Linked DNA regions of Styela clava. The protein of the gene in region 1 interacts with the protein of each later gene in a pairwise test. Links are inferred from orthologs where the notes say so. Each region holds a gene or a part of one and is shown on either strand. Other genes may lie near its edges.

The links.
Region 2: the proteins of kinesin heavy chain-like (region 1) and kinesin light chain 1-like interact in binary tests that used the Drosophila melanogaster proteins (3 or more experiments, as listed by UniProt). The link is inferred for Styela clava from reciprocal best matches to the Drosophila melanogaster genes Khc and Klc.

The regions. Positions count from the first base shown.
Region 1 is NC_135262.1:2,468,560-2,484,198, reverse strand, and holds the start of kinesin heavy chain-like, read right to left. Parts: upstream 7,781-15,639; 5' UTR 7,647-7,780; coding exon 7,602-7,646; intron 4,852-7,601; coding exon 4,750-4,851; intron 1-4,749. Other genes in the region: uncharacterized protein LOC120332555, read left to right, coding at 13,353-14,654. UniProt on the Drosophila melanogaster protein: Kinesin is a microtubule-associated force-producing protein that may play a role in organelle transport. Milt and Miro form an essential protein complex that links Khc to mitochondria for light chain-independent, anterograde transport of mitochondria.
Region 2 is NC_135255.1:2,451,060-2,467,313, reverse strand, and holds the start of kinesin light chain 1-like, read right to left. Parts: upstream 7,685-16,254; 5' UTR 7,578-7,684; coding exon 7,399-7,577; intron 7,256-7,398; coding exon 7,132-7,255; intron 6,885-7,131; coding exon 6,735-6,884; intron 6,308-6,734; coding exon 6,221-6,307; intron 3,562-6,220; coding exon 3,407-3,561; intron 2,945-3,406; coding exon 2,783-2,944; intron 2,600-2,782; coding exon 2,512-2,599; intron 2,402-2,511; coding exon 2,300-2,401; intron 1,757-2,299; coding exon 1,583-1,756; intron 1,238-1,582; coding exon 1,108-1,237; intron 654-1,107; coding exon 560-653; intron 112-559; coding exon 100-111; intron 1-99. UniProt on the Drosophila melanogaster protein: Kinesin is a microtubule-associated force-producing protein that may play a role in organelle transport. The light chain may function in coupling of cargo to the heavy chain or in the modulation of its ATPase activity.

The DNA.
Region 1 (15,639 bases):
AAACCACTGATTTATAAGATATTCAGACAGTAAACAGATGAAATCACATCCAAAAAGTATCGTACATAATTTGAAAACTTTTACTAGAAATAAAAGTACCAAAATTTCAAGCAGACAAAATCGCATTAAAATCAATTCGGTGCCTTGTATCGGGGCCCCTCTTAAACTGCTCTGTGTCCCCTCAGGGGGGCCACAAACTCACAGTTAGAAACCACTAATTTATAAAATATTCAGACAGTAAACAGATGAAATCACATCCAAAAAGTATCGTACATAATTTAAAAACTTTTACTAGAAATAAAATTCCAAAATTTTAAGCAGATTAGTGACCTCAAGTTTGAATTTTTCAGTTTCACGCCCCCAGGCGAAATGCAATAAATATCCAGATGTCTAAGAAATTCTTAAAGACAAAAGAAAAATGTTTGTGATTACAATAAATGAATTAAATGAAGTTCTATTGGGTCATTATATACCAGCTGGTAAATGTCTTTTACGGAGGTTTAAATTCCTTGAATGCATAATTTAATAATTGCTTCTATTTTTTATGACATACCAACTACTTGCTATTTGCATTATTAAGATTAATGAGGGATTTTGAATTCTATTTTAAAATTCATTTAGATTCGGGAGATTCTAAATCAGTTAATTAACTGGGGGCCAAAATTAGAAGTGAGAGGATACTCTCGAGCTGAGAGAAAGAGTGCCCCAACTGGTATAGGTTGGTACCAATACGTAGAATTAAGCTATCGATAAGATTGAATTGTTACGACTTACCGTACGAATATACACATGCTCAAACTATGATAATAACATAACAATTGGCAGTATCTAGAATGCAAAAAGGTAAAAACATAAAGTGTTTACCTATTTCATTCAAGTTCGGCGGGCCATATTAAACCGTTGCTTGGGCCGCATTTGGCCCACAGCCGTGGTTTGGGAATGAAAACACTGTTCTGAATGCACATATTTCCCAAGGAAATCATCGAATGTGTCTAATTTTGCGTAAATTTTGAGTAAAATTTGAAATACTCCATATTTTTCCTACAAGCAATGTATGTTTGGTAAAAAATATTCATGTTTCTATCATCCCCGTGCTTGAATGATTGATTATGAAATAACATTGATAGTTTTGAATTTTCCAGAATCATCTTACCGGTAAATCATAATTTGCATTGTAAATGATTACAGAGCATAAAAACAACTTAGGTACATTCAAGCTATTTACATATCAAAATTCCTAACCATAATGTGACTGACATACAGCACCAGATCAGAGCCGATAAAACTTATTGGCTTGTCATCAGGAATGTCCAAATTGAATGAATATTTGAAAAAAATTCGAAATATTAAATTTTTGAATTTAGGAATACAGGGGGCACAAGTATTAATAAAAGTCTTTGGAAGGAGGCCACAGATCAATACAGTTTGGAACCACTGTTCTACAGCATACCCATATTACTATTCATTTACCAGCATTCCTAGCCGTAATGTGACTGACATAAAGCACCAGATAAGAGACGATAATGCACTACCCAAGTTGATCAAATGACATCTTTTAAGGTCATCGATATATCACAACATAACTTTTGCCTCGAGGCTGTGATTCTTTCTACGTGAATTATACCGGTATAAAATGTTAAGTAGTGGACATTACAAAGTATTTATGCGCTGACATTCCACAGTGGATTTTCAGATTGCGTTTTTTTATAAAAATCTGAAAATAGATTCAAAACATATTATGCAGTGCTATGACAATAATAGGACCTGTAGCCACAAGCTCTCCTCAACTTATAAGGCCCTATATATGGGACCAAACAGATGTTTGAAGCAAGAATGGGTAAATAAAATGAAAATTAGTGGACATTACATACTATTTATGAAGTATTCCTCAAAGAATTTTGCTCACATGATTTCACAAAGTAGCTTACGTTTACATTTGAAGAAATCAAATTTTTGTTATGAACATAACACACTAACCTAGAATCAAAACTAAAACGAGTACAGATTGGAAACGCTGACCAAAAGACGGCCCTTGGTGTTAACTTGTGTGTTCTCATTTACATTTTATCCAGGTGATTGTCATCCTGAGATAACTGTACTTCAATTCTATTCTCACTCTTCAACTGACCAATGACAGCACAGCACAATGGTAGAGCATTGTGGGTAAAACCACTGAAGCATGCTTCCTGGGTATAAATACTGCCATGCTGGTCTCCAGAGGTCATTTAGTACTTTGGCGTAGCAGAGGCAACATGTGTCTTACGTCTAACTTTATATTCTGTTATTTGTGGTGACAACTGATCTGTTTATGTTAAGTATTGTTTGTGTTCAATAAAACATCAATTTACACCAATAAACAAATAGTCCCCTTCTGGAGAATTTTAACTCCTGTTTATATTTATTGTGTTATTTTGATTCCTAGATTCCAAATCCTGTTATGTTCAAACAATTCATGCTCAATATAGTGATAACATCTTGTGAAATAACCTCATCAAGCAATGAAATTAGAAAGAACCGAGTTTTCTTGTAAGGGGAAAGTAAAATAAGTTTTGCGCCTAGCATAGTGTCCCCATTGGAAGCCGCTGATCTATAGTGACAGTAGGTTTAACGAGTCTGAAGTCCATTTCCATTTTTAAAAAGTCCATTTCTGAAATAATAGTTCCCTATGCTGATATGGGACCAAATGGATTTTTGGAGCAAAGATGGATAAAACAAAATCATTTAATATTCCAAATACATTTTAAAATAATGTTGTTGACTTGAATTATATTATATTTTATATATATTGCAAATTGAGTTTGTTTACCAAATAATATGTAACCTATTCAGGTTTTTGGTCACAACGTGAGACTTTCAATTTATAGGTAGTGGACATTACATTACATTTATAAAATATACACAAATTTTGCTCAATTATGTAGTTCTAAACATGGGACCAAATTGAATTTTTACGCAAGAATCGGTCAAACCAAATAATGTACTATTTCAAATACATTCTAAAATACCGTATTTTCTGGCTAATGAGTCTAGATCAATTTTTAGTGCTAAAAATCAGGGTTTTTCAATATTACCACCTGATAAGTCGAGGCAGAAAAATAGTGTTACTTTGTCTGTTTTGTTTCTTTTCACCTTGAAAGGCCTTTTTTTTCATTATTTTATTCATACAATATGTATTTTTAGTATAAAAACTACTTATTAGACTTCAATTGCCACATTTTCAAATTAGTCCTTACCAAATAATGAATTTACTATGTCAAATATATATTTCAAGTCATATTGGAAATCCTCTTACAAGTTTAGTATTTCCAAACACAGAGAGCCCCAAAGGCAAAGTCTAAATCGAATAATCGTCAGTGCGGCAATGACAACCATGTGAAATAATTTCAATGATGAAATAATCCATAGGAGAAAATCACTTTTTTATGGTAATATAACTCAAAAACATAAACAACATTGACGTACATTGTGAAAAGTTCAATTGCGAGCAAGGATGACCAAAAAGATTCTATTCTTTTTACTATTACGAATACATTCTGGAATAATATTTTGAATATCATAAATTTTTCCTATGAAGTATTTATAAAACTTTTCTATGTACAAGGCAGCCATACTGTCGCTGTAGTTTGGGAAGAACGAAATGTTTTCAGTTTGACATCGGCTACATAATTCATTCTATCCAGGGTGAAGTGGCGGGCATGGCATGGACATTGATCCCGAAATATGTAATCATATTTACTGGTAACCACTAGGCCAGGGCTACTCAACTATAGGGGCTCCCGAAGTATGCGAACCAAGATGGCGGACATCGGAATGTAATATGTGTACTAGGTTAGGGTTAAGCCATAATTTTAGGTATAAATACTACGGGAGGCTCTTGGCTAATCTTCAAACTGATAATAGGACTAAAATAAGGAAAATTGGAAAAATATTATCGCCTAACCCTAACCTGTTACGTTCCGATGTCCGCCATCTTGGTTCGCATACTTCGGGAGCACCCAACTGTATTTACCGAAGATCCGCATACAAAACTACAAAATTATTTGGGTCCGGTGTTTCCAGAAATTATATTTCGGCATCCTTTATTAACGCCCACTTCCTCGACCGGTCAATGATTATCAGCTAATCAAGATTGTTTATTATGGTGTTATAGTTCTTTTCATATATATTCAAAACAATAAGTCATTTTATAAAATGAAACGTTAAAAATCAGGCTAATGATTCAAAATAAAGATTGAGATGCGGTTCAGATTCGGACCGGGGTACGCCAGTTGAGTAGCCCTGCACTAGGCGACCATGTCCACACTATACATAAAGTAAATTGGGTTGCATACAACAGGCAAGTTAAAAATAATCAATATAAAAAAACAGTAGAAACAGAAACCCTTTCATTTAATTAGTGAGATTTCTCAAATTATAAAATATCAGAAACCTATCAAATAACTGTCTATTTCACTTTTGTGCACACCCGAGACAAACAATTTTATTTGCCTTTTCAATGAGCAAGACTCAAATTAGAATATATTCGATATTTTTTAATAAACGTCTTTTTGAATTCAAAATATTGAATATACACTGTATGGTAAGAACTTTTACTTCCCTGATACCTCATATTCAAAATATAATTTTAAATGTATTCAGTTTTGGCCAACTTTGAGCACAATATTCCACTTTATATTATACGATAACTCAATTAAATTGAAATTGGCATAGATTTTTAATGTGGAAAAAGTGAAAAAACATTTCTCATACCGGGCTTCCAAAGGTAACTTGCTCAGCAGAAGGAAACTTTGCCAAGAATTGATCCCCTCTTGTCTTTTCTGATGGATTGAGCGGCCGAAACCGACACATTACCTGAAAAAAAATATAGAAGTACGCTTATTTTATAGATTTTCGTCCACAGGTCTCACATCAAAAAATGGTTTTCTGTCGCAGCACAGGAATAACGAACCATGACCTTTTTTCCCGAAGCACATCCTTATTTACTTCCGTAACATTAACTAATCAGTAACATGCAAAAAGTGACATAACAATGGAAAATTTTATCAGTTGTTGAGTAGGCTATTGCTGGTCTTTCAGACAAATTTTTGGCATCGTTGTTAACATTGTCAGTTTTTAGTATTGTTTCGGATTCAAGTATGGATCAAATACCCTAATTATACTTTCCCTCACTTAGAGTTTTAGTTTAATAGCAGTAATCAAAAAGTTGTCTAGAAATAGCAGTGATAGATTATGCCAAACTTTTTTATCGATACTTCTATATGAAAGGTGGTTGAATATTTTAAATCAAAATGTTAATTTGAAACATCTAAACTTCCCACATCAGAAATTTTTAACACAAATTCAGTATTTCAATGAAAGCTTGCAACTCTCCTTTAATTCGTTCAAGCCAAAATTAGGTTAGTAATGAAGCTGGATATATAGATTCAATCATAATTTGAAAGCCTGTTTTTTTGGGTCTATTGGGCTGTCATATAAATAGTTGGATAAAAATAGATAATTGGTCCCTATTTAAATGACAATCTTGGTGGAGGAGGACTATTGGGATTCCATAGAGATGAGCTGGTTAGGAGATATGGTCCAAATCGCCATTTAAATAGCATTCTCTTTAGAGGTCTCATTTCAGGTGTTTTGGGCTGCCATATAGACAGGGTTGCCATATCGTGCTTATTTATAAGATTTATGCTTATTCTCTAGCCTGCGTCTTATAAAGTAACTATGTGTTTATTTCTAAGAAAAGTGCTTATTTTTGAGTTGCGTGCTTATTTGGTGTTAGAAACGTGGGTGACCAGTACTTGTTTTGTGTACAAAGCTTGCGTGGAAACGACAGACGAACTTTTTTCAACGGTGGGGTTTGCGGTATTTCCAGGCAAACTGTGACACACACAATAGTTGATGCTAGTTTTTAGGAATACTGTTTTTAGGGACTAACTGCAATTTAGAGTAAGCGTGACCATGAGTTCTGTTTCGAACATGAAAAGAAATTTTCTATTAACTACTGCTATTGCGACATCGAGAAAGGTGGAAAACAGTAATCGGTGCCCACAATACTACCGCATTGCGGGAAACCAAAGTCGCTATTAAAGTGCAAAATTTGAATTTCTAATCTGTATAAATAATGTGGTTCATCAGTCACCCGTTCAGTTTTTAGCTTTCTGGAAAAAATATGTGCCGCCCGCCAAGATTCGTAACACTTGGTTGCCGACCCTTGTCTTAGAGATAGCGTGTGGCAGTGACTCCGTGTCTTTCCATTGCTTTTTGCAATTTTGGAGCTGCGTACAACCATGTTCGAAGCGACTTCTAATGATAAAAAGTGGGAGACTCGTGTATGATCTCCTTCTCATTCTTATTCTGCCGTTGTTAAGACCCCTCCCCTTGAAAAATACCATTTTGACGCCCGTGCTTATTTTTGGCTCTGGGTAGATGGCAACCCTGCATATAGACAAGTTAAGAATGGGGATGGATATAAGGTCCCAGTCACCATTCGAATGTTCTCTTCAGTAGAGAGCTGCTGGGCTATCATATAGACAGCAAGTTAGGAATAGGGGTGGAACTATAGTCTTAATCGCTATTCGAATAAATGTGCTTTACACTAGAGGGCTACTGAGCTGCAAGATAGATAGCAAGGTAAAAATGGAAATGTGGTCTAGGGCTGGGCATTTTCGAGTACCTTGTGATTTCAGAATCGAATCGAATAATTTTCTCGAATCGAATCTCGAATACTTGGAAATATATAATTGTAAGCGACTTTATTATAGTAATTGGTCCTCTCAACAATTGAATTACCGAAGACATAGAATGATTCACTCAGATAGATTACTGAGCGTTCACACAGAATAACAAACACGTTTTATCAATAACTCACTACAGAAAATAGTCGTATGTTAGAATTCCGTTGAAAAAATATGACTCTAATAAAAGAAAAATTAGGGAATTCACCTCGACCATTAGCGGAAAGATAAAAACAAGATGGCGGCGATTCGAAATTTAGCTCTGAACCGATTCGAATAATTTACTATTCGATTCGAATATTCGATTCAAAATGCCCAGCCCCAATGTGGTCCTAATCATCATTCAAATGGCATTCTCTGCAGAGGTCTATTGACCTACCATATATACATCAGGTTAGGAATAAGAATGGGTATATAATAGTACCAATTACTATTTGTATTGCTTACTCTTCTCTGTCGAAAGTGGTACATTTCTGAATTTATAGTCTATGTCACAATAAATTAACCATGTAGTACTCTCATTTTTTTCTTAACTCAACTTGAAGTTTTATCTTCTTTCCTGAATATCTGTGCTGTGTGTTCGTCTTGTATATCATAATTTACTGTTTGGAACAATGGCAAAGTTAAGACAAATTATCTATCTTATCAAAGTTGTCAATCATCATTTGATCGGTTTCTCCATACATGGCACGTGGACAGAAGGTTAGGAGTAAAGATGGAGATAATATGGTTCTAATCTGTACATTAATGGTTTCCCCCATATGGACATCATATTAGGGAAAGATATAATGTTCTAAGCGTCATTTAAATGGCCTTCGTAAATGGCTATTGGGCTGTGTGATACTAACCAACGTCAATAAACATACACAATACCTTTATGCTGCATTCTGCCGATGAAGCCTCTCCTGCGTCAGTCATCTTGAATCAAGACGCCAAACAGTTCAGCAGTTTATAATCCAATTCTCCAAATGAACGTTGGAATATTTTCTTCTAAATATTCATATGTATTTGATCAAAGAATACCTAACCAAGTGAGATATTACTACTAATAAATCCCTGTAGAACAAGAAAATATTTTTAAATTTGTGAATGATCATAGCAATAGCAACTTTCAGTGTGCACAAGTGTTCTAAAGGTTTTTCAAAGGTGATGCATCACTATGATTGGGGTCTTACTACTTACTGAATAAAGCGTGAAACAGAAGAAAAATAGCACGAAATACAGTACACATTGAAGTAAAAAGAATATAATGATCATAAAATATATTCCATGATTTCTGTGAAGCTAGCAAAAAAATGTTCTCTAGCTCTGTTCCGTTCTGCATCCAACAATACAGCAATATGAATTAACCCAGTTAAATCAACCTCCTCCTGAAAGAAAACTTCAAAATGTAGGGTGGTGTTGCCAGTCTGCTGACGATTCCATTCAAACCGCTATAAAACAAAAACCAATATTTCGAACCCGTTCACCGTAGGTGCATTGGCATTTATTCTACATGCTAAACCTCGAATTACCTTTCTACAACCAGGGGATAAAGCTATACAAACCACCAAAGTACGACACTCGGAAGACATATTTGCGACCGAACAACCAGTGTGCGACCACAGATTTCAAGCTTTAAACATCGTTTCTGCTGTGTCAAGACTAGGGCATACGCAGCCATGCATGAAAAAATGGGCTTCTAATTGCATTTCTGACCGTCATATATTTTAAGAACACAGTCATTTCGAACAAAACTCGTCAAATTATATACAAAGCACCGCATCACAGCAATCAAACAGACAAAAGCACGGTGGTCACAAATTGGTCGGCAAAGATATTATCGACGTATTGGAAATGCGCACCCCCTATTCCCCCTCCTTTACAACGTAAAAACGCGAAAATTTAAAGATGGTTGAAAGAAACACAACTCTATCTCTTATATTTGTATGAATTTTCAAGTTTTTTTGATGGGACAATGGGTAGTTGGCGACATGAAAAAATGGTCCGTTTCTTTTCCTCGGTCAGGTTTTCGGTTGTAACTTTTTTGTTTGTGACCGCATTTTAGTGTAATTTCGCAGAGCTACGAGGGACAAGTGGACGGTAACGTGTGAGAAATATCGTCACAATTCGATAAATTTTCGACATTAATTAGATAGTCGAAGTTGATGGCCGCAATTAGGTCTTGGGCGCAAAGTCAGAAAGTGGGTAAGCCACCCTAGTGCTGTAGTGACTGTTTTTGATGAGCAATGCAACCCAAGCAAATCCATTTGCAAACTCCCAATTATTTTGTTGCTATTTTTTATTCCACAGATAGTTCAAATAGAATACTGGAATGAGATTTATTTAGGCCCATCCCTCTTTCAGTCTTTCGCAATAACTGAATAACAGGAAAAGAGACGATCTGCAAGATTTAACTACTTTGATTTGTAATATTACTATTATATTGCAACAGACTATTATACATAATCAGTTGCTTAAGCAAACTAGTAAAACTTAATACCGGTACTACCGGTAGGTATTTTGTCAAGCTGTCACGGTCAACAGGACAATCAGCTCAGAATGGCAGAAACAATACGGCTGAGATTCCACTTGGTTCTGCATTAAAACTAAGTCTATCAACTCATTAATGGAATAGGCACACAGCCAAACGTAAAAATAACGAAACCTAAAATTACAAACCGAAATAGCCTTGTCGAGGCAACTGCAAACCCTCGAATAACTAAAAATCACAAACCGCCACCCCTCGACACCTGCTGTCTCAAAGCTTTCACATCGATCGTTCTGTCTGGGGATGACGTCATCGTGCCGAGATGACCCGATTTGTTTGACCTTTTAAAAAGTATTAAACGACCTTTAACATTTTATGTTCAAGAGGAAAGTATACAAATAGTGAAAAAATAAAATAAATTAAATAAAACAATTAGTATAGATGATGTTCTCGTGTTGTTTAGCCACCATGTACCTTTTCATTCAATAAAATATGTAGTCTCGAACACGGACTTGAAGCCAAACGATAGTTTGTGGTTATGCAGATGGATGAAAAAAATCTCATAAACTCTGCTATGACAGGATGTTTCCCCGTGCAGCAACTTGTTTGTTTATTTCCGTAACAATAACAAATCAGCAATAAGTTAACAATGACGTAACAATTGGAGTTTATAGATATTCAAGCATGGTTGTAAACATTGTATCTTTTTGATAATATTTTTTCCAGGGGTCAAGGGTCGGGGAAACGTCCATAGAATAGGGATAACACACAAAACGGAAATTTCGGAAAGTTTTCAAAACACCTTGCGACATAGAATATAAGTGAAAAACATCGCCAGCTCTATGGAATTTCCACAAATTTGAAAATACCAATATAATACCACTACCAATAGTCAATACAAATGTAATATTAGATTTCTCCATTAAAAAAATATTGCACGATATAAGAACCGCAACCACATTTTTCTTTTTTGAATTCTAGTGTGTATAAAGTATTGCCATGATCTCCTTTCGATCAGTGTCTCACATCCTAAATTGATTTAAAAGGTATTACCCGATTTTATATCGTGTCTTTATTTTATTGTGTTCTTATGACTGCTCGCCGTCCAGGTCCTCTACATTTTGTTTGTCCGTTTTTTTTTTTTTTCAGAGTGGCCACAATATGATAATCAAAATTGATTATGTCAAGTATTAAAATCCGGTTGCCAACAGTTTCCATTCAGACATAAATGCACAGGCTTCCAGCCTTCCAATGCTGCAAGCTGATACGCTATTGCATAAGTCAGGATAGGAATTTATCCCGTGGAGAAACAGGCCGATGTTACGGCCAACCACATCGCGCACAAAATTATGTCGTCCGATGACCAGTTCATGCGTAGTATACATAAGTATAGTTTACCAGTTGTTTGTTTCGTGGATGGACTTTATGGTCGAGGGAGTCTTAGCTGACCAGCGCTTGCGTTTAGCAATCCTCTCGCACATAATTGTCCCTCATTGGATTCGAACCTGCGATCCGGCGCCGGGTAACCGTGATCTAACGCTTTGCACCCTTCGCCAACTGCCGAGTCCAGTAATTTGAGATAATTAGTCTGGGGTTGCCAAGCGTGACGTTGATTAAAATCTGTTAATTAGGTAAGATTCTGATCCAACGGTCTTCGTCGGTATCGGTGGCGCAGGGGAAGCGTAGAGACATGGTTACACCTTGGGCCAGGTATAAGCGTGGGTTCGAATCCCACGAGATAGACGGAGCTATGGGAAAGAACCGTGTGTGGGTTAGGTAGAGACAGTAGGCGAGGAAGGCAGGCATAAGGTAGGACCGCCAAGAGCAGGCGGGCAAGTGAGATGAACAAGGAAGGAAAGCGGACGTGCAGATTAGACGGGAAGGCCATGAGAAGACAGTAACGCAGATTGGAGTGGAATCACTAAGGCAGATGAGTCATGCGTGAAAAAAGAAGAGCCTGGGCTAACTCTGCGAGGAGGAGATAAAAGGGAGAACCGCCAGGAGCAGGCAGTCAAGTGAAATAGACCAGTCAGAAATGAGGACAACGGACAACAGACAGACGGATGAAGCGGAAGGCCGGTGCGACCACCAGAGCAGGCAAAGGCGGATCCAAAGAGAAGACCCCTATGTGTAGGCAGAGGATAGCTAAAGACTGGGAAAAAAGAAAGGAAAAAGAAAATAAGAGGAAAAAGAAAAGGCTACCAGAGCAGGCAAAGGCGGATCCCCATGTGTAGTAGGCAGAGGATAGCTAAAGACTGGGAAAAGAGGAAAAAGAAAAGGCTGGGAACGGGAGGAAAGCCGAAAGAAGGGCATACCGCCAATAGCAAAAGCAGGACAATAAAATAAGATAAGCGAGAAAGGATCAGGCGAAAAGCCGAAGAAAATACAGGAAAACAGAAAAAACAACGCAGGTGTGAGTGAGTCAGGCAAAGAGTGCCAGAAGAGCAGGTCCAAGACAAGGAGGAGAAAGTAAAAGAGCATCTTCATCCTATGCCCGAGATTTGGATGTAGGAAAAAGAAAACAATGCTTGCTTAATGCCAACAAGGAAGCGGAAAGACAGCTCTGGCTGACCCAAGGGAGCAAACAGGCCCGCGAAAATCAAGATGCCACACCAAGACCGGCGAAAAAAAAACTATTTTCCCTTTTTTTTTTAACGGGCGTCAAAGATTAAGCAGCCATTTTTTTGGTCGTCGAGGATGTAGGAAAGAAACCGTGCCGGCGGGCGAGCTGTATGGTCAAGCCTCCACTCCGGTTTTATCCGTGAAACAATTTAGGCGACTCCAAACACTACGAACTAATTTACGAATTTATTCATTCGCGAGGTGTCACTCAAGATCAATCAAAGTGAGTGATCAGTTGCCATAACGACGTTTTGATGACGCGCTTCTTCTGCAAACATTTGAGATAGCGATAACTTTGTAATCAAATTAAATAATTCAGACGCGATAATTTGATTAATTTGGAACATTATTGTGATAATGATTATGTTATTTAGAGAAGACCGTTAGGTTATTTGTAGTTTTAGCTAATCGCAAGTTATGTACAAATATTATATGCAATGTAAATTTGCAAATTAAAGCATTAGGAAAATAGATAGATAGTTTATTTCGAAAACTCCATAACAAACATAAATTAAATATGGAGAATTCTGGAGGGCAAGCAAAACCTATAAAAAAGTTTATAAAACAATGAGAAGTATCTCATGTGCCTGCCCACAAAAATACAAGCCCAATTAAATGAGGCTTGGGCCAAACTTAACAAACAAATGTATGTATACATGATAGTAATAAACTATTGGGCTGTTGTACTTTTTACAAGGTACCGGTACAATTTACTTGGTTACCGGTGTCCTGGCATTGATATCATGAACTGCCAATAACTGTAAAAAGATGTAGCGCAAACAAAAAGCAGGGAGATTCGCTCTGTGTCTTGTTGTTTATTGCAGTAATCTAAATTGGTCTGGGGTTTCAGAGATTGGAAGTGGTTTTACTGAGACAGATGTATTTATGTGGAGCCACTCACTCAAAGCCTCACAGTTAGGATACAGTAGGATAGGATTTACATATTTATCCCAAGGGAGAGGAAAGTGATACGCCGGCTTAAATATATGGCAAACCACTGCCTCTCGTCCGGTTACCAGTACCGGTACATGTTGGGTATGGTATTAGTTAGCCAATTATTGGTTTTCGGAAGCATAGGCTTGTTCCACATTGCTCCTTGTTCTCAATGAAGCACTAGCCCAAATAGTTGCAATCAACTACTGAGAATTTTAAGCTTCACTGATAATGGAAAATTGGTTACTTCCAAATAATTTATACCATTCCAAGTATTAGCGAAAGGTTAGCATTCGTACAAGTTCATTCATCTGAAACAAGTTAACTGGGTAACTATTTCCATACGCAAAATGCACCGGTAATCATACAAGAGAGCATGGTTGCCATATGTTAGGCCATCTTAGCAGCGTTTCTCTCCCTGGGACTAAGATCCTATGCCAAAGATAGCAATGAGACACTGTCTGAAAATGGAGCATAATACTGCAATAAATGAAAATAATGTCATTTAAATTGTGGAATTCCAAATCTGATTACCAACAATATATTATTTAATTTCAGCCTATATATATCTTCTTTAATTTGTCTTAAAAAAGCACAAAATGCCGAATAAAAAAGGGTCCGAAAATAAAAAGAAAAAGGCGGTTTATCCGCCAGCATACTCGCCAGGAAAGAGTAGCACTCTAAAAGAGGTCGAATCAGAGTACATCAAAAATCTGCAACAACAAATCTACTTCCTTGAGTTAGAAACGACATATCTACGAGATCAAGCGAAAAAAGCGACCGATATTCAACCAAAATTAGTCAAAGAAGCTGATCAAATGATGACTCAGCTCAAGGAACGACACAGCGAAACGAATGATCTCAAAATCGAAGTTTCAAGAAAGGACGCTTCAATCTCAATGCTCACAAATGAAAAGAATCGTCTTGATCAAGAACTCCGAGCGAAAGTAACAACGTTTGACGTTGATAGAGGAATGCTCCGAGAAGAAATTATCCAACTTAAAAAGCTTAAAGACGTTGCTGATCGAGATATAGCTCGAAAAGATTCTGAAATTGTAAATTTACGACAAGAATTAGACCGCACAAATTCAGATTTACGACACACTCAACACAACTTAGCTCTCGTACAATCTCAACTTGACCAAAGAATCACTCAACACACTGAAACCGCTTTACTTCTCGAAGGGAAACGAGAGGAAAATCTACGCTTACAATCTGACATGCATGCAAGCGAAGAGCGACATTTCCAACAAACGGCTACAATGCAAGAACAAATCACTCGTGACCTGCAGACAGAAATTCGAGGGCTTAGGCAACAAGTACGAGAAAAAGAGCTCGCGTTTTCCCAAGAAAGAATTCTAAAAGACAAACTACTCGGAGATGTCTCGAAATTGACTCAAGAAAACACCGCAGTTCAAAGTCAAATTTTGGAGTTGTCGAAACAACTGGACCGCGAAAGAATCCTTCGCGGAGAAAGAGAAACAAGAGCTATGTCACATACATCTCAAATTGCGTATCTAAAAGGTCAAGATGAGGTCAAATCGCTAGAGTCGAGAAAACTACTCGATATGATTGAGATTCAGAAACAGCGATGTCGAGAGTTAGAAAACCAAATTCTGAAAATGCAAGATAACATGTCACACACCAACTTTCAAGGAGAGACAGTTCGTTCACGCTTGACTGAACTGGAGTCACGGTTCGCTAGAGTCGACACTGAAAATACACAACTTCGTCATGACAAGCAGTTACTTGTGGAACATGTTGCGAATATACAGCGTTCTCTAGATCAAAAAGAATCGGAAGTTCAGCGTTTACAAACCCATGTTCACACCCTACAAACCGATGTATCCAGAGCGCACACTGAACTAGATATGACAAGATCTCTCCAGTCGATGAAATGATTTAATTTTAGAAATAGAAGGACATCTAGTGGATGATAATATTCTTATAATCAAAAAAAATGTACACAAAATGGCCGACGGTTGGAAATAAGACTATTAGTGACAAGTACAAGTGTAATAATATTGTTACTTATAATAGGAAATCACCCAAATAATATTTTGTTTTTTCATGAGATATTTTACATCAGCAGTTCCCCAAATTGCTTTGGACATCACCATTTTCCACTGTATTTTTATTAAAATTAATGAGTAATATTCTCAAATCTAATTATTCCTACAAAATGTTTTAATTCTATTTCTTGCTTTTATAGATATAATCAATTGTTCATTTGTGCCTTGTTACTTTTTCAATCTACTTTTTTGAACAATATTTGATTTAGGGTTATTTTGTATAAATTTTCTTGGACATAAATATATTTCACTGTATTTATTTTTCAAATCTATGAGTAATATTCTCAAATTGAAATGTTCCAACAGAATATTCAGACCTCTTTATTTATTTTTAATTGTATTTCTTGCTTGTATGTGTACCAATATGGAGGGAAACTAATTTTGTTCGCCTACGTTACATCAACTTGTGTAAAGGGACCGAAACCTATGGGCAGGGGATATATTCACTTGGCTAACACAGACAGTCCCCGAACTTGTAATAAAATTAAAATAAGGAAAATCGGAATAAAATTATGGCCTAAACCTAACCTAGTACACACACTACGGAAGTACCCCTTTTTCAGCAAATTTGTTTTAAGAGCAATTTTGTTTTTTGTATAAATTGTCTTTAGAAACAACAATTCGGGCTATTCTCCATTGTATTTTTATATATTATCAACCTTGAACCTCAGTAATTATGAGAAAATTGTTTTTATTTTTTCAACAAAATTGTGTTTTAAAATTAATCTTGCATTAGTTTTCACTAGCAATAAATTCCTTGCCTAATTTGATTTATTTTATCCACTGTATTACGCATTATCATTTGTTATTCGTA
Region 2 (16,254 bases), on another chromosome or scaffold:
CCAAAATCTAAAACTTTTTAAAAAAAACTTTCATTAGAATACATACAACACATGTACGAGGCGACCAAGTTAAAACCCACAAACAATATATTATCATACCTGTCGAGATTACTGTTTGTAAGCATGTGTATTAAAAAATTACTTATATTATTTTGTAAATAGCAAAGAAGCAAACAGAATAACAACAAAATATACAGCTAGGGATGCTCAAGCAAAAGAAATATCATTTTTTTTATATCTCATTATTTCTAACAAAACATTGCGTTTTATCAACAGAATTCATAATTTTACCAAACCTGAATCAAAATACCAAGCGTATGATAATGGTTGGACTAGACCAAAATTTCAATGTGCAATTAATTCATTTTCGGTAACTTTATTTATAACTTTAAAATAAGACAAACACTATGATTTTAAGTCGAAAATAGTTAGTTTCCAGAAACAGCCATTATAATTTCCCAAGATTTCATTTTTTGAAAAAAGAGACATCATCGCCCTATATATAAATACTATGTGTTCAAAATAAATAGAATTAGCCTATCAAATTCCAAAACACAACCTGTCAACTTTTGCAGCTTTGTACCATCCGCCATATTCTCCGTATGGTGCACTGTCCTTGTGCTTTCCACTGTATGCTGAGGCTTCTCTCTCCTCTGTTCAAAAAAATTCATTTGGTGGATTTAAATACTTATTTGGTAGCTGAATTTTGAAAATAAATATTTTACACTCCAGGAGTGATAGCACTGACGAATGGGTACCAGGTGTGTAGGGTGTGTACCAGGTTAGGGTTAGACCATAATTTTGTTCCGATTTTCCTTATTTTAGTTCTATTACGATTACGAGTTCTGGGACTGTCTGTGTTAGCCAGGTGAATATACCCCCTGCCCGTAGGTTTTAGCCACTTCACACAAAACTTCTGGAGCGCCAACAAATGAGTATCCAATAACTGACTTCAAGATATGTTACAGACTATAAAAATTGTCGATGATTCAGCTATTGTTCTCTTCAAATACAAATCTATTGCTTCCTAATCTGTCATTTATGATACTGGGATTCAAACCACTGTTGGTTGTAATTAAAAAAATATCCGAAAACGAATGGACATACCAGCATGCATCCAGATAGGTTTATTCTTCTCGTCAATACTTCCAAAATCTTTCTCATGAGCTTGAGTTAAGACTTGTTTATAAAGAGCTTCAGCTTGTTTGAATTTACTTTGTTTCATGTATGCTGCGGCCTGAAATTGAGAAATAAAACTAATTATTATATTTGTCAATTCGATCAAAATAAAATGCAAAACATTTGAAGTAAGGAAGTTTTAGTGAACAATAGAGGCATTAGAGATCATAAAATAATGCGTGTTGTGAAATAGACATAGCTGATTTAAAACATCCAAATTATTTCCTAATGACTGAAATTCTGTAAATAAAATCCAGCAAATAGAAAATCCTGCAGAAGTAAAGATATTGGACACTGGCTAGAAATTCGATGCGAAATAGCTTCCGTCTAAATAGTAAAAATTATCAAATCTTTGCAACTTCAATTTGTTGTGGTGATAAATTATCATAAAGAATCAACTCACCAGATTATTTTTTGTTTTAGCTACATTTGGATCATCAGGTCCCAAATTAGTTTCATAAATTTTCAGAGCTCTCTGATAATACTTCTCGACTTCTTCATATTTACTTTGATTTTGACATAGAAGTGCAAGATTATTTAGTTGTTTCGCAACGTCAGGATGATCTTTACCCAAAACCTGAGATAAGAAAAAAATTATACCAAGATCAAGCTTGGTTGCTGCATCCGGATCCCGAAGATTCCTGCTTACATTTATTATAAGAGCTAATTGTTTGAGATATTATTTATGGTTGTCAATTATGAAACATGTTTCTCCATGGTGCTTTGGTGGTGGAGAAAGTACTAGATTATGTGTATTTTGGTTTACCAACTGGATATAGATTCCGTATTACGCATTTGGCATGATATGATTGAACAAAAACGCACCATATAGCATAAAAAGGACACCCTGGAAAACTGGTCATTGCTTGTTCGGTTGACCTGATTTTTTATGAACTTAAATAGATGTGGCCCACATATTTGGCAACTGGCTTCATGCTCCATACGTTCTGCATATATAGTTATAATGTAACCAATGATGCCATGATTAAAATTATATTATCACACAGGCTTACATGAAGGTACATCCTACGAAACGGAACTGCAGGAAGAAACAAATACCTATTGGCTAAAGAGGCTACAGAAATTGTAAATAAAATGAAAAGACAAAATCAATATTCACCTTTTCTCGAATTTCCAAAGCTCTTTTGCACAGTGGCTCAGCTTCTTTATATTTACCACGTTTTCCATATAATACAGCAAGATTATTGAGCGTTGCAGCAACCTGAAAAATTATCACATCCTATGGCATGGCATCATATTTCAAGTATAGCTGAATAAATTGTAAACCAATTCACCAAGGAATAGCATTATACAAAAGTTTCAATGACTTACAGCAGGGTGATCAGGTCCAAGTGTTTTTTCGCGAATGGCAAGAGCATCGTTCAGTAGATTTCCTGCTTCTTTGTATTTATTTTGATCTCTGTAACAAGAAAAATTGCTCTGAATAATTTTATAATACAGGTCATGAATTTTTGATAATAAATGCAGGCCAGAAATTTCAATTATCATCAAGCATTCAGTACATCACCCAAAATAAATTATAGAAACCGTAATAAAGTAGCAAAGAAATAAAAATACGAAAATCTTAATAATGTAAACAAACCTGTAGACAAGTGCAAGTATATTAAGCATAGTAGCAACATCAGGATGGTCGTGTCCAGATGTCTTTTCAAGATCTTCTAAAGCTTGCTTACATAACGGAACAGCAACCTCATAACGACCTTGACTCGCATATTGGATGACGAGATTGTGAAGAGTACGAAGTCTAAAATTAGAAAATTTTGATGAATATTTGATTTTGGATGTATTCATAGAATTTGGCTTATTGTTGGAAAATGTGAACATCAACAAAAATAATGCTTCTCTAGTAGCCTATCTAATGATTGTTGAAAGCAATTATCACCAAAGTATTTCAAGAAAAACATGAGTTCAAGTTACATGAGTTCAAGAATCAAAAAAGTATGTTTTCAACATTCTCTCAAAATAGCTTTATCCACATTTCACCCTTTTGGGTTGAAATCTCTCGAAATCAGTTGTTTAAAATAGAAATAAACGTTCAACTTTCAATGTTTTTTTTTTTAATTGTTATTTCACCAATGTACCCATTTTAAAAGACAAAGTAGAATTCCAAAATATAAAAAATCCAACATAGAATATCTGAATATATGAAGAATTCTGACAGAGAAAACTTCATTTCAGTATCACATATAAACTAACTATACACTACCTGGCAGGAATCTCATATCCACCACTAGCAACAGAAGCAGCACTACTATGGCCAGGTGGTGTTTGTGGTATTGCACTTGATGTTGTTGTTTCCGCCTCTGTTGTATCGTTGAATAGATCTTCAATACTTCCACCAGCAGAACGTGTGTCGTCAGCCTGCAAAGTGTTATTCAAGTGGTAATGAAATATCAATACATGAATCAGGACTGAATATATCTGTATCTGTATGATATTTTCATTTAGAGAAATGAATAGATTTGACACAATGACTCCAAGATAACCGAACTAAAATCGTTCAGTTTCAGTTATAATAAACTCTCTCATACATGAGAATGAACTCAGATTCACAACTCATAATAGAAGCTTGAGGGAATAAATTTACCCAATATGTATGAATAAGTGTTATGAATCTACAAAGCAACAGATGTACTGGTACCAGACGATTTTATCTCTTTTATTGAAACAAAATTCAATAATCATTAACTATGCATGACTGAGAACAGTATATGGCAGGGCTACCTCAACTATTTTTAACGAAGGTCCGCAAACAAAACTTCAAAATCATTTGGGTCCGGTCTTTCCAGAAATGATATTTCGGCATCCTTAAACGAGCACTTCCTCGACCGACTAATGATTAGTAGCAAATTAAAATTGTTTATTATGGTGTTATAGTTCTTTTCGTATATATTCAAAACTATGAAAGTCATTTTATAATAGGAAATTCAAAAAGTTGGGCTAATGATCCCAAATAAATAATTAGGTGCGGTCCAAATCCAATACTCGAAAGGTCCGGATTCGGACCGCGGCCCGCCAGTTGAGTAGCCCTGATATATGGTGCACATTTCTCATCACAAAACGTAATATTATGATGAGGGGTTTTAACAAAATTGGTTAAATTAAATAGAAAATCAAGTTGAACAAAAAATTTCCATTGAATTCAGATAGTCTACTACCGGTTATTACGAATATCTATTGACAAACACTGCGGCATTTTGAAGGCACTTAGGTTGAATAGAATCAAAAATACAAGATTAGAAGGAATCAGACAACGTTGGTTGCATATTGCTTTAAAACAGTGAGTGTGAGTGACCAAGCAAACACAACATTAGTAGTTTTATTCACTCACATAGATGTAGTAAATTAATTTAATCAATGACTTTCATTAATTAAGAACCTATGCTCCTTCAGTAATTAGACTACAGGCTATGGTAATTATAATATTAAAATATACACAATTAAAATAAGATAATTTTATACTAAAGCCGCTCGTAATCAATTAGTATAATTGAAGAGTTTAATTAATACTTATAGCTCAGAAGATTTGATTTTTACATGAAGTATAATAATGAACCTATCGGTATTTGAATTGCAATAAGGTCATAAAACCGATAAATATTTGAAGTAATGTTATGATATTAGAATAATAAAACCACACATCAGTATGAAAAAGAGCAGAAACCGTTTGTTTAGCACTGTTATCAATGTAATGAATTGTTGTTTGAAACCTGAAAGTTATATATCAATTTGACAATTTGATAAAAGTTGTCAACAATATTTGCTTGGCCACTGTTGAATATTTGTTGAACTTGCAATTACTCAAACGATTACCACGCTTTATTTGTGTTTTCATACAATAAAATGAATTGGTAATTTGCATTACAATGTGCTCGATAACCATGTTTGCTATGGTTCTGTGCGGAAAAACCTACCGTAAATGAGAAGCAATAGAGCAGCAAATCATTGGATAGAAACTTTTGTTGCCTAGTTTACAATAATAGTTAGTTAAGATATTAAATAAGTTGACTTTTTAATTTACATATAAGTATCAAACTTCATCACCAAGTTAATAAACATAGAGATCACAATCACATTTAAAATGATTCAAAATATTCTTATAACAAGTTTCAAACAAAAAAGGAGCATTTTTATTACGGCAAATTATTATCGAAATCATGATTCAAAGGTAAAAATGTTCTCAGTAACAATGTTGCAGTGAAGCCATCGTTATGAATATTATTAAAACAACATCATGCTATTTGCAGCACAATTGGAAAAATATAGTGGTAAACTCCATAATATTAATAAACAATGATGTGCAAAAATATATAAATATATTACAGCTGTCCAGTAAGCTTTCCTAGTTTATAGACAAAAGTTACACAGCAAATGGCCCAGGGGAGTAGAGAACAGAATTCCCTGCTGAATAATGTATAAGTTATACCATAAAATATTGATTTGCACAATGAAGACTTCAATTATTGATTTCATCATTCTAAGAGTATATCTGACATTAAACTAAGATAAATCGTATGAATAAGTATAATTTATTTTTGGACCATGCTTGGCAAGAATTATAGTGCACATAAAAAAATAGATTTTTTGCCAAGAAAGATGCATCCACTTTGTGACCAAATATTAGAAGTACGATTTCAATAGTGATCAAGCATGAAGTAAGCTCAATACTAACGAGATAAGAATAATCAATTTTCTACATTCAATTCTTATTCTGTGAAGCAAAGATCAATAATATAAAATATTAACTTACAGAGTATTGCAAATACTCAGAGTATATTTGAAAAAAAATAAACGTAATAGCCTACTAGTTTTTTCTTCCATATTTACATGCTAAAATTTGATATTGATTGGTCCAATCTCAACAACAATAATTTGGCAAAATGATCCATAAACACACTTCGTGCCAATTAAATTAATAAAGTTAACCTAAGCAGGGTTGAATGGTAAATCCTTCATTTTCATGAAGATATCTGCAGAAACAAGGATTAAGATGTGAGATAGAATTTGTTTGATAACTTACTCCTTGAGTGTTTGTTGTGTCAGAATCATATTTTTTCACTGAATTCATAAATTCAAGATGCTTTTTCTCTTCTTCCAATTGTACAGTCTGAAAATAAATAATAGTTATTCTTGGAGGTTTTCATTTGATAAAACTGAACTTGTAAACTACTGCTTGCAGTAAATCAGCAAGCAAAAAAATAACCACCATTACTGTGCAGGCTGTGCCTAATAGAAGTCTAGTAAATACTAATTTCATACTGATGGCAGAAACAGGATAATTAATATTACAAATACTTGTGGAAACAATATTTTAGTATACAAAAATTAAAATATCCTGAAATGTGGCATGTTAAACAGAAAAGTTATCAAAATTAAATTTGGTAAAGCAGAATGTTTGAGATAAACATTCTTTTTGAAGGGCGAACAAATTTCTTTTTTTAAACACCAGAAATATTTTTCATCAATTCGTTTTGGACATCCCTGCTGTAAACTATGTTTAAGAATCTCAACTTCTAATATCTTTCTACCCTCACCTTCTGCTCGGACAGTTGTAACTTTTGTTGGGTGTTTGCAAGTTCATCCCGCAACCATGCATTCTCTTGACATAGACGACGTACTTGTGCTTTCAGTTTCTGTTTTTCCGATTCCACAGTATTTAAATGACAAGCCAATGATACAATCATCTACAAATAATTTGAAGTTTACATAGTTTCCTGAATTTTGTTACGCGAATAAAAAAAATGTCTATGTTGAGATGTTTTATTTTTTTTTTCAAATCTAAACAAACAAAAGGTATATTTTTTCTAAAAATTTGATATAATTACAGGAAAGTGTAATGATTCAAAATTTAAAGTCAACTGCAGAAAATATGTGAAATATGTAAAAATGTAAAAACTAAAGGATGATAATAGAAAGAACATAAAAACATACTTCTGCTTCTCCCAAACCAAGCTCAATCATTTCCAATGACTTTTTTATAATATGTGATTTTTCTTCAACAAGATTTACATCTTTGTCATTTTCTCTTCTTATTGCATTCAATGTCGCAAGAAGACTAAAAATATTCAATTTGTAGGAAAAATAAAAAATTAGTCATTATAAATAATATATAAAGATATAACATTTGATACAAGTATGATATTTTAATATTTGTAGCAGACATGACATTAATTAACCAAGAAAAGAAATACAGCTTACCTGTGTAATATAGAATTATGCTCGGTTCTCAATTGATCCAAGCCTTGTATAACATTTCTTGTATTCTGTAGAATAACATCTTGTGACATTTTTACTTCACCATTTTGTGTGGAATTTAATCCATCATTGCTTAAATTGACAGCAGGGTCATCCTGCATGACCATTGTTCCTCCAGACATGTTGATAATTCACCAAAAAGTATCACATCGATGATAAATTGGTCACAATTTAGAAATTAGATTATTGGTCTAATCTGTTAATACAGTACCGTAATAACTGAATAAATTGAACATATCTTTGACCAAATACAGAAAAATAAAGAACTGAAAAATGGAGAATCAATTGGGGTAGTCTACCTAATTCTAAAATATTTTTATACCTGGTACGGTAGTATCTACGTCTATACCGGTAGGCTACCTACTTTCAATGACGTAATAACTGAATACCGGTAATGCCCGGTATACCAGTATCAGAGTATACAGACTTTTAGAAGGATAGGATAGGATTAACATATTTATCCCGGGGGAGAGGAAAGTCGATAAGACAGCTTATCCATATGGCGAACCACGGCCTCTCGTCCGGTTAGCATTCCAAGTCGGGTATGGGATTAGTTTTACTGTATTGTTTGTTTTTCGGAAGCATGGACTTGGTGGTGGAGGAAGCCGTAACCGACCAGCGGTTACGTGAACCACCCAACGACGGCGAGGAGTCCAGCAATCCTCTCGCACATACAGACATAACCATCCCTGCATGGGATTCGAACCTGCGAACCCACGCAGAGTAATTAGAGGTGCGGTGGCGAGCGTATTCCTAATGCTTAGCCCGTTGAGCCACACCGCCGCGTCTAGCCTAGGTCAGTCAGTCAGTACTGCAGTAGGTACCGTACAAATTGACATTACCAAAACATTCAAAAAATTTATCCCTCCTGCCCTTATTCAGTTAATGCTGTAGTGAGCAATGCTCGTACCGCTCCCTCCTGTCTATACCCAATTGACTTGGATATTTTTTTATTGTGTGGTACAATTGCTTGAAACAATAAATCTCTCTATCTTCAGCTCTTGCAGTCTTGTAAGTTCTGAAGTTACGGTACCGGTATAAGTTTACAGGTTTATTACGAGAGGAACAACCACATTTTCACATTGGTACTAACCAGAAAATTCTCAAGCCGAATGGAGCCAAAGCATATTCATTTCAAGCAACGTTCGGGCGTTCTAAAAAACACGCCGTCATAATAAACGAAATTTGGTTTGGATTTTGGAATAATATAAAATCCTCATGACAGCCGGCCAGCTGGTGGACTATGCGATGACGTCACATGATCAACCGATCGGAATCTTCCCCTAGCGTCGATTCCCTTGTTTATGTCCATGAAAAGGCTCAATCAGCAATGAGTAAGTACACAATAACGTAACAATCGCAATCTATGCAGCCAGACACTTCTTTCGCACGGACCGATTTCCAAGTACAGTATTGTTGTAAACATTGCCACGTTTTCGTGATTTTGTGTGTTATTTGTCAGTTTTCAGATGTGTTTACAAAAAGTAGTTTCTGATTAAATACCTTAGTTGTCATTATGTCTTCTGAGGACCTTTAGTTTAGTTGCAATAATCCAAAATTGATCCCACAAACCTTGCGATAGACTATACTTAAATTATGGTCGGGGAAACGCCCATTTAAAAATATCACCATGTTCTGTTCACACAAATGTGTGCATACTTTCGTGAAAGCTGTATTGCCGAAGAAATGAGATTGATAGAGATTTTCCGTGAACTGAACCCTAGAGTTGACCAATTCTTTTTGTTGCGCAACCAAAAATAACATCACTTCTTCTTTCATTCGAAAACATGGGGAGCATGTTTTCCTTTTAGAGCCAACGTACTTGCGTATGATATAAAAGTGTAGTATGATCGGCATCGGCAAGTGTAGGAAAATCAAATCCATGCTTCCGAAAACAAATAACTGGTAACTGGACGAGAGGTCGTGGTTCGCTATATGATTAAGCCGTCTAATCGGCCTTCCTCTCCCCTGCGATAAATATGTGAATCCTATCCACCTATATCTTTACAAACCTTGCGTAAGAGTCTAGTGCTGAGCGCTAAACTTTTCACGTAATTATTTACGTCACTCTAATTACGTCAGACAAATGCTCGTAAAGTCTCCTCGGAATGGTTTTGGAGACAAGCGCCGTTGAGTGAATCATGTAATAATTTCTTTAAATTACTGGATTTTTCTGCTTTATGAGGGAAACCAATCCTAATCATGGCAGAAGCGCCAACAGGCTTACTCCAACTTAAACCAATATTGTTAAAAAATCAACTAATACTTAAAAAGCATCCACTGCCTTTGATGTTCTTTCCAAAGGTTGGCAGACGAGAAATTCTTTAGTAATCATTTCACCATCAACATATCTGGCATACACAAGTAGAAATGTAGTAGTAGTCCAGTTTAAGGGCAAAAACAGAAGAGGAGTCAATCTTTGATATTACCTTGCTCTTAATATTGTCAGACATTTCATTGATTCTGAATTTTATTATGTCGTTGGACAGCGAAACTCGTTTCTTTGTTTGATATGCTATCAGGGGGGTTTCTCCAATCGTATGTGCCTCTTTAACCTTTTCCACATACAAAGCAATGGCAAAAGATGCATGTACAGAAGTATTGCTAGTCTGCCAAAAAGTGCCGGATTTGTCCAGCTTTTGACTTTTTAGACAGGACAAAAAACGACATTCATAACCTTTGACTTGTTGTAACTTTCGCATTCGTCGATGCAAAAAGAGGTGACGCCTGCGATTCCTTGCTCTGTACGTTAACGCGTCCAGGCCTGACTTGCAGTATTTCTTGTGAATAGGATAGGATATAATTTACATATTTATCCCGTGTGAGAGGAAAGCCGATGAGACGGCTTATCCATATGGCGAGCCACGGCCTCTCGTCCGGTTACCATTCCAAGTCGGGTATGGGATTAATTATATTGTTTGTTTTCGGAAGCTAGACTTGATAGTGGAGGAAGCCGTAACCGACCAGCGGTTACGTGAACCACCCAACGACGGCGAGGAGTCCAGCAATCCTCTTGCACATAACCATCCCTGCATGGGATTCGAACCTGCGAACCCACGCAGAGTATTTAGAGGTGCGGTGGCGAGCGTATTCCTAACGCCTAGCCCGTTGAGCCACACCGCCGCGCAATGTTAAAACGCAATGTAATGGTGTTTCGTTGCTGGATTCATAGAAATACTGTATTCAGATGCGTTATGATATTTTAGTAAAAAAAAACGTGCACGTGTACGATGTACCGTCTCGAGATGCCATGTTGTTCTTCAGATCAATAACTCGGATAATATTGATACAGGTAGCTCATAAAATATGCTACAAGAAGAGTATTCTTTTTTTAAGTTATAAATTGAGATTCGATGCGTTTTCATTATTGTTTATAAGTAATAACACTATCAGGCTACCGATATGCATGGATAAAAATTGTGCTTACAAACAATTACAGAGTAAGTATATCAATTGCTGTTTCAGATGTTCACAATTTAAAAACTTACAAATGAAGAAGACCTTCATGCCCGAGCTCTTACAACCTAATCACCAAAGTTGCTGTACATTGATTGAAATATCAAGCCAACTACTGAAGAATATCTCAGAAAACATGCTTCTGCGAGGCACATACTGGGACGGTAAAGAGGTTTAATCAGACTACTGTATGATATAACAAGTTCACAATTACAAACTTCTGTACTAGCATTTCTCTGTCGTGTTTCTACTGAAATTGTTTAAGCAAGGAGTTTGTGATGTCAAAGAAGCTCTTACAGATGTTAAAAATGAGAGAACCATAACCAATTAAGTAAAATCTTTAGGAAATACTGAACTATTAGCTAGCAACCTTTCAATTTTCCACTCTTGCCTGGAACCTTGAAGACAGCTAAAATGTATTAGTAACAGAGGAAATCTACTACTATTGTGTTCTTGTATTTACGCATATTTTTAACAAATTATATCTCAACACAAAGTGAATAAATTCCATTGAATATTCTTACCTGGGGATGGCACCCATAACAAGAATGATTACTATTCCCAGGGGTGTAAAATGGGTGAATTGTTATAAGAAATTAAGGTAGTAGGCTACAGTGATTTTGTCATTTTCACCTGAGAAAAAGAATCGAAGGGCATTCGCATAATCTATATGCTGATATGTGAGTGAAGCAATGTCTTCTATCTGTGCTAGGGTGTAATTAGATCAAGGATAGCATAGCAAAATTCTATATTTGACCATAAACTGCTGATTGTGACTTTTCGTAATTGGGAATGAGAGGTTCCAAGAAATCAGATACAGATCTTCTGCTTATGGTGTTCTTTGGTGATGTGCTTGCTATTTCAATCAAATGAAACTTCTGTCCGTAACTTTTTATAAATGAGAATGAGAAGTTCCCAGCATTCAGATACAAGTCTTCTTAAGAAAAGTGGTATTGTATTTCAACCAATTGATCCATGAACAATTACAAAGCAACTATGATGACTGTTGTATGTGCTCGAGCATGGGCGGGTTCTGCTGTAATTATCTGCAGTCTAATCGTGAACATCTGCAAAAATGTGATATACTATTTCAACATAATATGGTCCATGCGGGCGACTTGGTGCCGCGGGCAACGGGTTGGTGATCCCTGCTTTAGAAGATTGTTTTCCCACGTTCTCAATTACTAGGAGATAGAAAATATTACCCAACAATTTGCAAGTAGTATATGTTTTCAAGATATCGATGGGAAAAGGGGCGCATCTCAAAGCTATAAATATTAAAGATGCCAATCAAAAATATTTCAATAATTGAAATTGTTCATAATTCTTTTTCCATTTTATTGTGCTTCTGCATTTCAAGTTTTCATGCCGTTGATTTAATGGTTTTCAAAAAGTTCATAAATAAATATCAAGTGAAAAGTACTGCTCAATCCTTTACTTCGATTCAAATGCTAGATCAATATACATCAGCAATCAGCATCCTCTCCTCTTTTGTGGTTGCTTACATTTGATCTTTACTATGAAGAAAGGCTTGAAGGTGAAATAATTGCATTATCGAAATTTCTGGGAAAGAATCTTCATCAAGTAGATGTGTTTTTCACTCTCCTGCCAAAAAAGCCTTGTCGGATTTTAAAATGTCCAAATGGATTCCAAAAACTTGTTATGTGGAATTTACAACTCGTAGGGGAAGGTTGGGACACTTTTTTTCTTTTTCATATTCTGAGCCCTTTATTCTGCACATTCATATGACTTTGCGGGATTATTGCAGAGAGGGGTAAATGTATATTTTATTCAGCGACTAAGAAATTCCCTTGCGACACACATCTTACCACCAAAATGCTTTGAAAAACGTTTGTCAAGTGTCCCACGGTACCCCACTTGTGGGGCACAATGGGTCATTCTGTTAAAATTCAAGGAAGTATGCCCTTAAAAATAAGCAATCAATCAGCATAATCGTCTAAAGAACAGGGAGACCTCAAATTTGAAGATTTAAGATTTTTAAAATCAATGTTCAACCGAAATATTTCAGATATTCCACCAAAAAATTCGCTTACAAATCAAATCATTTTCTAATTCGAATCTAAATCTGGAAATATTTTTGATTCTCGAATATATTTCATATTGGACCATGAGTCGAAAGATACCATAATGTTACATAAAAATATAACGCATCTATAGGTCTCTAAGCACTTGTTGTATCAAACACTGTCGAATTGTGCCATGTAGAGCATGTCCCACTGAACTCCGGTCCATTGTTCCCCATAATCAACAAATATCTTCAGATCATCTCACGGCGAAATTCGGAAGGCACATCCACTCGCCAACGTTATAAATATTTCACAGTGGACTATAGCTTAAAGATATCAAACGGTGGTTTGTCACGTTGAAAAGGCTAAGTTAGAAAAAAGAAAAAACTGGAACGATGAAATTTTAGTTTCAACTCCCCAAAACCAATTTCACCTCATAGCTTGCGTCGCTCTACCCGTCCGCTGTCGGTTTGCGGGGACGTTGTAACTCACCGAAGGGCGGATTGAAACATCAAACCGCGAACCGGATTCCGAATATAGTATTAGTGTGAGAGCTGATTTTCCACTGTGCCCCATGTCCCAACGTGCCCCACCTTCCCCTACGTGTTTTTCCCATTTTGAAGTCTCAAAACAATCTTCATTTTCTGACACATTTCAACAATTCTTCGCATTTCAGTTATCGCGCGACCTCTCTTCAAGCAAATTTCCCTGAAAAGGTATATATATATAATTCAAGTTTGAGTCAAATTTTATTAGTTCAATAACATTAAGTTTTAATATTAAATTGCATGACTATAAAGCCTGAAATTAAATTCTAATCACGTTATTTAGCAAAAATTGTGTATATTCCAGCATTTACTGTCTCAAATATCTCTGTTTCCAGATTCATATTACCGTAAATGACAGCAAATAATTAATTCTGAACGACAACCAGCATCATATATATATTAAAGGTAGGCTTACCATACGTCCCGGTTTAGCGGGGACAGTCCCGGTTTTAACAAGCTGTCCCGGCGTCCCGGCCGGTAGACTCAAATGTCCCGGTTTGGCAGCTCGGCTGCCATGGGTAAAGGTTTATATTCAATATTATTATAAATTTTTATTTTTTTATTGAAGACAGCCCACTTACCACTGATTTGCGACACACTTTACATGTTCAGAGAGGGAGAGAGAGAGAGAGAGAGAAATTTGTCTATTGTTATGTCACAATTGTGATATGTTTTAATGCGTCACCTGATGTTAACTGCTCTGACGTTAAGTTGTCGAAATGACAAAAAGAAAGTGCAAATTTTCCAATGCGTTGAAGAGAGATTTTCCTTATTTGAAGCAAACTGAAGGAGGAAAAACACTTTGTACTCATTGTAGATCTGTTTTTTCTATTAGTCATGGCGGTCGTTCAGCTGTCAACGATCATCTCCAAAGCGGCTCGACTGACCAACTTCTTTGCGATAACAAATTCGAAAGATTCTTTGTTTTGCAGCCAAAGAGGCCACAGTTGCCTATCATACTGCTGTTCATGGCCAAAGTTTTTACTGCACCTCTAAATTAATTTCAAATTTTTCTTAGCCTAAATTTGCATTAGTCAGAACTAAATGCGAGTCGGTGATTGTTAATTGCATTGCTCCACTGCTATCCTCTGAACTCGTATCAGTAACCATCGATGCATTAAGCAGAAAAGATTTAAAGCTTGTTCCAGTTGTGGTTCGTTATTTTTTAACTGATGTTGGTGTGAAAAAAAATATTAGAATTCAAATCTCTACCCGGGGAAACCGCCAAAACTTTTACTGAATACTTGCTCTCTGTTCTCGATCAAAAACATTTAAAAGGAAGAGTTGTTGGATTCTGTGCGGATAACTGCAACACCTACTTCGGAGGCGTAAAAAGACGCGGTACAAATATTGTTTATTTCAAACTAAAAGAAAGCCCAAAAAGAAAAATATATAACCGGTATAGGATGTGCGGCTCATGTAGTTCATAACTGCATTCAACATGCCGTAGATACTTTGCCTGTGTGTGTAGAAAGTCTGCCGTAGAAATTTATAAATATTTTTACATTTACACTGTCCGAGTAACAGAACTGAAATCATTCTGCGACTTTGTTGATATTGAATATCAACGGCTATTGCAGCATGGCAACACTCGGTTGCTCTCATTATTACCTGCTCTGCAGAGGATAACGGAAATTGAAGGCTTGAAAAGTTATTTCAATTCTCAAGAAGGATGCCCGACTCTTATACAAAAATGTTTCGACGATCCAGCGTACGAACTTTACTTGAAATTTGTCCTTGGCCAGCTCACCTACTTCAAAATTGTTCTCATTTTGGAAAAAGATAATACTAATGCTGTAGATGTTGCAGATATTTTGCCTGAGGTGAAGCATAAAAAATGGAAAGTGTGTTTATTCCATCGCAAGCGATGGATAAAGAAATATTTATCCGAGCATAGATCAAATGCAATTTGGCTTACTTTGCCCGTTGAGGATAAGTGGATAGAAAGGTTCAAGAATTTTTCACGCAAAAATATTAGTATTTTGAATTTGCAGAAACTTATTGAATTTGTATTTTGTTTGCCTGAAACATCGGCATCTGATGAACGGCTTTTCTCAATTGTTAAAATTTTTTGGTCTGAAAGCAGAGGCGGAATGCTAGAAGAAAATATTAAAGCACTCGTCCCCTGCAAAATTAATGGGGATCTGCCATGTTATCAGTTTTATGACAAAATCAAATCGAACCAAGTATTTTTAAGAAGCGTTCTTTCTGCGGACAAATACTTTTGGTCTAAATAAATAATACAAACTAATTTTTTGTGTTTTCCTAATTTAAAGACCAGTAGAGATTGACAGCTGTATTTACCCTCAATGGCATGGTAGAAGTTTTAATATTAATTGGCAATAGACTGAATGTTTGCCAAATCGCACCGTCCCGGTTTTTTGTTTCAGATATATGATAAGCCTAATTAAAGGGCTCGTGGGCCGTGGCACACATAAGACATTATTCAATCATTTTGAAATTGGAAATCAGAAATTAGTACCATAGTTGAATACACCGTACCTCTATGTTCCACATATACGCGCCTCATCGGCCCCATAATTAACTCAATAACATATGCAACGGGAGCCGACTAGTTGACGATTCACACCCCACATATTCCAAGTGTATATTCCAGGGTATGTCGATGTGGCCGTGAGTGAATCCAATTTTTGCCAAATATTTCTCATTCCTTTTTACGCGACCCTTAATCATATTAACAAAGCTCAATCCAAACAATCCACTGATCTCTATAGCGATACGTGATGTGTAATGCGGGATTCCAATAT